Xenopus tropicalis: one gene and its partner. The protein of the gene in region 1 interacts with the protein of each later gene in a pairwise test. Links are inferred from orthologs where the notes say so. Each region holds a gene or a part of one and is shown in the gene's direction. Other genes may lie near its edges.

Evidence for each region.
Region 2: the proteins of klc1 (region 1) and mapk8ip3 interact in binary tests that used the Homo sapiens proteins (3 or more experiments, as listed by UniProt). The link is inferred for Xenopus tropicalis from reciprocal best matches to the Homo sapiens genes KLC1 and MAPK8IP3.

The regions. Positions count from the first base shown.
Region 1 is NC_030684.2:98,526,566-98,530,223, forward strand, and holds part of klc1 (kinesin light chain 1), read left to right. Parts: coding exon 1-105; intron 106-783; coding exon 784-862; intron 863-1,213; coding exon 1,214-1,439; intron 1,440-1,873; coding exon 1,874-1,961; intron 1,962-3,658. UniProt on the Homo sapiens protein: Kinesin is a microtubule-associated force-producing protein that may play a role in organelle transport. The light chain may function in coupling of cargo to the heavy chain or in the modulation of its ATPase activity.
Region 2 is NC_030685.2:22,616,319-22,619,976, forward strand, and holds part of mapk8ip3 (C-Jun-amino-terminal kinase-interacting protein 3), read left to right. Parts: intron 1-1,396; coding exon 1,397-1,435; intron 1,436-2,921; coding exon 2,922-3,101; intron 3,102-3,658.

The DNA.
Region 1 (3,658 bases):
AAGTTGCAGAGGAGTGAGCAGTCTGTGGCCCAACTGGAGGAGGAAAAGAAACATTTAGAATTTATGAATCAGCTGAAAAAATATGATGATGATATTTCCCCATCGGTATGCACTTTAACTGAAGTTAAATTTTCCATTCTTGCATATGCTGATATTAATGCGTGAAGCACAGTATATGTGCTTACATTTAAATTAAAGTGATAGAATTGATTTTATAAATTTGGGTCGATGATTATTTTAAAACTAAAATGTTTTTTTAACTCTGTAAAATAAAAATTGGCAGCAAAAAGATGTGCATGGTGTTGCGGTATTGCAGATGAAATCCGCCTGTTGTGCCTCTTTAGTGCCCATGCAGAGAGCACTTCTGGTCTGGCTGCACTCTGGATCTTGTGGCAGATTTAAAAAAAATCTGTGCGGGGTACAGAATGCAACACCAGCAGACCCCTTTTTCTGGATTGCTTGAGAATTCCCATAGATTCCTGTAATGTTAGTCTTTGTGATTTAATTATGCTTCTCTCTACCTGTCTGCTCAGATGAATTTATGGAAAAGCCCTTTGACTGAACCATATGTGTGGATATCCGCTTGGCATTCTGTGTGTTCTTCAGGCATAGTGGAAATGCTTGACATTAACCTGAATCACAAAAACATTCTAATGGTTAAAAAAAACAGATCGTTTTTATCCCCCCCATGTTTTGTACTAGTGCTCTTACCCAGTCCCAAGTTTTGCAAAAATAAAATTCAGATACCTATACTTACTTGTTCTTACTGCTCATTTTTTTCAGGATGATAAAGATAGCGATTCCTCCAAGGAAACTCTGGATGATCTGTTCCCAAATGATGATGATGATCCAGGCCAAGGCAGTAAGTGCATGAATACCTTTAATGTCCCTTCTAGCTTCTGTTTTTTTATTTTTTATACATACGGGTTATTGGCTCCATCCAGTAATTTATTCCAGACTCAAGGATATATGTTCCAACAAGATTTTCAGTTTTATTGAGATTCACCTAATGGTTGCTGATATGCAATTCACTTGTGATTTGTTTACATATTCTTTTTGCAATAGTGGGTGAAGTACTACCATCTAAAGCACTCTTGTGCCAGTAGTATTCATGGAAACAGACCTTTAACCCAAAATACAGTCATAAAAGTGGCCAAGGATATGTTTGCTTGCAATATGGCTGGATAAATTAATCTGTTCTCATTTTGTGCAGTACAACAGCAGCACAGCAGTGCAGCAGCAGCTGCCCAGCAAGGTGGCTATGAAATCCCTGCAAGATTAAGGACCCTCCATAACCTGGTGATTCAGTATGCTTCCCAGGGAAGGTATGAAGTTGCTGTACCTCTCTGCAAACAAGCTCTTGAAGACCTGGAGAAGACCTCTGGACATGATCACCCAGATGTTGCCACAATGCTCAATATACTTGCTTTGGTCTATAGGTCAGTAGTTTTGTCTGCATAGTAAGTAACCCTGCCCTGTCTTTTCATTGCAGATGTTTCATGATTTTATAGGTTATTGTTGTGCATCCTACAGTAAAGATATTTTTAAACTGTCTGTTACCCCAGTTACCTGTGCTTTCATATTGTATGTAGGCTGGAGGTGTTATATGTTTGCATATATTCCAGGCTGGGGGCCATATGTAATCCTGTGTAGTGCTCATTCAGCTCACAGGCCTCCATTCGCTGGTACTGGAATGTGTTTTACTTCCAGTACCCATTAATATAAGCATCTTATCTTGACCATGTAACACAAACAGCCTATTTAGTTCCAGTTTAATTCCAGTTCCCTCACCCCCCCTTTTTTTTTTTTTTTTTTTTTTAACAAGTGCATACCTGAGCTAATGCTTTATGTATGGTTCTAAACTCTATTACAGGGATCAGAATAAATACAAAGATGCTGCCAACCTATTAAATGATGCCTTGGCTATCCGTGAAAAGACTTTGGGCAAAGACCACCCAGCAGTAAGTGGAGATATATATATATATTTTTTTTGTTGTTGTTGTTTTGTCTCCTTGCTGTTTAGTTAAGTGTTAATGTTAATTAATGGTAATTTAAACTTAACAGGAGAGGTTACTTAACACTGGGATTCTCAGTAAAATTAGCAGGTAGGATTACATGTTGATGTTCACTCTGGTCACCGATCAACACTACAGAAAATTTGCCTTCATGTTAAAGCAGCTGTCCTACCAAGATACCATTCTACTACACTACAGAAAGAGAAAAGAAATATATATGTTTTATATATCTATTAGTCCTTACCAATTGTCCTACTTGCAGTTTCTCTCTAGGCATGCTTCTCTTACTGCTACCTGCGTTCTTTTTACCAGTTCATCATCATCTCACTCACACCTAGTTCATTTATCTTTAGCTTCTTTCTTTTTGGAGAAAGGAAAATGTAAAAGAAAGTTTTCTTTGTGTTGTTAGGAGACCTATTGGATAAATAGAAAAACCCCTAATTTTGTAGGCAATTATGAATAAAATGAATTCAATTTGTAAAAATGGCCCCTTTATTGGAGCTCCCTATAGATCCTACCAGTTCTCTGTCTGTGTTTCAAATGAAGGGTGGGTGTGTCTTAATGGTCCCTGCCAGAAGCACAGCAGGAGGGGGACAACCAATCACAGCCTTGCACTTACACAAGCAAAGATAGGCTTCAGTTCCCTATCAGATCAGCCTAGCTGCTGATTGGTTCCTATCCTACAATGCCATGTACTGAGAGTCGCGGGCTCCCCTGCACACCCAGAGAATTCAGCCTGCAGGAAGGGGAACAGATGGGCGGGACTAGTGGGGTTTTGGTGGAATTTCTCAATAAATCAGTCCAAAACACAACTTTTTTAAGCACAATCCTTCTATATTTAGAGGAGTATAATTCACTGGTACATTCTTAATTTTTATATGATGTGTCTCTTTTAAAGAAAAAAGTACCATTGCTCCTTCATAGAGTTGCAGCAACAATTCTCCAAATGTTTCTAACATGAAAGGATCCCCTGACAGCCTTTGCATTGAAGTTTTATTTTGTGAGACAAAAGAAAGCAAACCAATATTTTAAGATATCTTTAAATTAGAGACAGAATGCCACAAATTGTCCAATTACAAAATGATCTGGTTTTTGGTCCTAAATTGACCCTGCAATGAAACACCTCCTCCAGTGCAGTAACATACTTAACCTAGCTAATCTGGAAACAATATCTGTAACAGGTATCTGACATAACTCTGAAGCTGGTCAATACTGTTTGGTTTAAACAAAGAATTATAAAGAAAAAAATAACTTTTAACTTAAGCATACAGATTGAATTATTGTGGGCTGCTCCTTTAACATACCTGCTGAAATTCATATTTTTCTGTCCTACATTAGATTTGAATTCAGTTAACAAATGCATGCTTTGAAAGCAAATGGAAAACAATTTATGCTTTTGTGTTGAATATTGTAAATTGCTTGTAAAACATGACCATGGTGATTTTTGTATCAGTTTGAAATCTGTAGATGAGCTGATTTTATCCCTAAAGGTGAAGGAAAGGCATTTTGGGATTTTACTGTCAATAGATTTGCCACATTAATGCCACATAGAATAATATATATATTCTGCAGAAAGCATTACCATACTGGAGTAAAGAGCCCTAGAAGCTTTCTCTGTTTGCTTAAGATTGCAGCTGCCATTT
Region 2 (3,658 bases), on another chromosome or scaffold:
ACTGTCCTTTCACCTTTTGATTACTATGACTCTGTTAGGCTCATTTATTATTGTCAGGGGTGCGAGTGCTTACCACTATGGACATTTTTTGTTGCCCTTTGGGTCAGCCATAGACACAGAGTGCAGCACTTAGTGGTGCAAAATACCCTGTTTAGGTGTTAAAGGGCACATATCTTAGCTGATTTGCTTCCCCCTACTGGAAATGTGGTATAATAGATCATACCCTCTGGCTGAGGGAAAACAATAATATTTTGACCATAAAATGCCACCAGTAGTGTTTAGCTGCACATAATGAGTACCCTAGCCTACTCATTTATGCGCATTCATGTTCTGTAAGAACAAGGAAGGAATATACAAATCCTGTGTCATGCATATATTAAATTATGCGCCTGCATCTTGTACCAACATGGCTGCCCCCACACCAGAAGCTCCCTTTTGGTGTGGTTGGCATAGCACTCACTAGGGACATTTTCTGCCCAAAATAATATTATCCTCACCTACACGAGTGTGGGCTCGATGCAATTTGTTGCATGCCTTGTGCAGCCTTAATAATCCCAGCCAACACCCACATCTATCTCTTAGCATGCCAGGCACAGGCAGCACCACATAATGAGGAACACTCTTTGTATTTCATTAAATAAGGCCCAGTGGTACTGGCTGCAAGAACCACCTTCTACCCTTGTCTAAATATGACATTTAGCATATTGTCATTGTCAGGGGAGGCCTTGTAAGAAGCTTCTTTTTCCAAGGTCCCGAAAAGTTTCTGGTGAATATAACTCAGCCTTAATATTGCCCCAGCTGTAGGCTTAGTTTATGAATATAATGGCATGGGGCTGCTTTGTTGCTTTCTGTGGCCCAGGCCCGGACTGGCATTCAGTGCATTCTGGCAAATACCAGAGGGGCTGCTGTAAGATGCCATAGACTATATCACTATATAGTGGACTGGTGAGAGCTTTTTGGGCCTCTGTGTACTGGAAATGCCACGGCCTATTTTGAATCCCAGCCCAGTGCTGCTGTGGCCAGCATCTTATATTTCTTTGTTTATAGTTTGAACCCAGCCCTTTTTATTCTGGGATGCGTCTCATTCCCCTTCTAAACCTGGGGCATATATACTAATAAACCAAGCCTAAGTGAGGCTTTACTTGCCCTTTAAAAGGATACCAACACCTTACACATAAACATGCCCACACCATTCCCCCAGGATACAGAGTGCAGAGAATTGCTCTTTTGTTTTGTTTAAAGCAGAGGATTTATAATTTACTTTGGGAAGATCCTGCCAATAATTTCTTTTCTTTTTGTGTTCTCCATGCCTACCCTTCCTTCCCTCGCTTTTCCTTCTCTTCCTCATTTCCCCATTACTATTCCCAACCCCTCCACCTCTCCTGACCTCCGCTAGCGGTAGTCCTACATCGGGGGCAGCTGCTGGGGCTGAGGGGTAAGTCGAGGACCTATGAAGTTCCACAGATCTCACCTCATCCCATCCTTCCACATGACCTTCTCTCTCTCCATCTGAATCTTTTCATCATCCTTCAGCATTCATGAGATCACAGAGGCTTCTGAAAGCCTCTGACTGTTTGGTGGTGGGCTCTGTGTTGTTTGGTGTACTGTATGTATGGAATAGGGATGCACCGAACTCATCATTTTTCTATTTTGCCCAAATACCTAATTCCCCACGTTGATTTGGGCAAAAACCGAAATTAATCTAAATTCTAATTCATTTTTACCTTTACCCAAGATCAACTCCCCGCCCCCAGATTTGGTTTGACCAGGCACTCAGGATTCAGTGCATCCCTAAAATAAATGGCAGTTGACATAACCTCATACAAAATGTCTCATTTCCTGTGCGAGATTTACAATGGCATTGAACAAGGAGTTTTCCATAATGCGATCATAGCAGAGGGCTACAGGGAGTTTTCTGATCCACTGAATGATAAGGAGGGGACCAAACCATTGTCTTCCAAAATGGAACCCCACAGTGTTATCCAATAGCACCGTCAGATTGTTAAGAAAGACGGTGCTGTGAGTATGTGTCCCATAGTGTTTACAATATACATTTAGGGTGTCAGGCAAAGGGGATGAGTGGCTAAAGAAAAATGTTCAGAGGTAAAGATCCTATATGAATTTCCTTTACTTTGGAAGTTGTCTGTATGTGACCTACAGTCGGGGGCCAATATCAACAGGGTACAGGAGCTACTCCAGATGGGCTACGTGGCAGAGGTGGCCCCAAGAGAATTAATGGTGTGATTTGCTGGTTGTGGAGTAGGCAGGGTTTGGAGGGAGTTGGTAGGATTTGGGTGGATTTTTGGGGCCCTATTCTAGTTGTTGGCAGGGCTAACTTCCCAGGGAGCCATGTTGACCATTGGGATAATAAATGGGGTTCATAGAAGTAGGGCCCTGCTAACTTTTTTATGGGGCCTGTAGTATATATATATACATATATATATTAAAAATAATATATATATATATATATATATATTTATATTAGAACAACTAAGTTATGTGAAAACATGGGTAATTTGTGCTTAAGGGTCCCTTTATTGGTATGTAGGAAGGTTGTGTAAATGAGATGTCATACAGGCAGTGGTAGATTACCATAAGCGCAATGTGGGTGGTTGCCCAGGGCCCCCCAAAGTGACTCCCAACCTTGGCAAAAAGAAGTAAGGCTTATGTGGGCTGGGGGGGGGGGGCGCTCTTCTGCTAAGGCCGTGTTGCTGGACCTGTACATGATTCAACAGATCTTGGGGTCAGCATTTTATAAATCTAAATGACTTTGTAGTTCCAGTGTCTCAGAGTCAAGGGCACCCATGATACAGAAAATGCCAATGATAACATTTTGCATAAGACTTCCCACTCTCTTGTCTGTGACATTCACTGCCTTCATTGGGTTTATTTTTCTTATCAAATACTTTATATATCTACAGCCAACAAGACTTCACCCACCTCTGGAGAGGGAACGCGGCCTGGGGGAGTCATCCACGTGTACAGCGATGAGAACAGCGACAAGACCGCAGGCAGTTTTATCCCATACTGCTCCATGGCACAGGCCCAGCTCTGTTTCCATGGGCACCGGGATGCGGTTAAGTTTTTTGTATCTGTACCAGGTGAGAGCAACTAGAATCAGAGAAACCTACAGTATATACTGTATTTTATGACAGCAAGGTTCCATCGTAGAATAAATATACCTATCTACATATACACATTCCATATAGATTCTGATATTTTCTATGGATAGAGGGAAAATATTGTCCCTTTTAAGGGGTTGTTCAACTTTTAGTAAAACACAGGCAGTGACAATTTGCAACTGGACTTCATTTTTTATTAGTTGTGGTTTGTTCCAGTTTGAAATTTTAGCAGCTATCAGGTTTCTAGGGTGCAATATAACCTAGCAACAAGCCAGTGGTTTGAAAGAAAGACATGAATATGAATAGTGAAGGGCCTAAATATAAAGATAAGTAATAAAGTGTAACAATAAAATTGTAGCCCCGCTGAGGAATTATTTTTTTGCTGCTGGGGTCAGCTGGAAAGAGTCAGAAGACAAAGGGAAATCATTCAAAAGCTATAAAAAAATGAAGACCAAATGAAAAGTTGCTAAGAATAGGTAATTTCATCAAGTTAACCTGAAGGTGAACACCCCTTTAATATTGTCTTAATCTAAAAG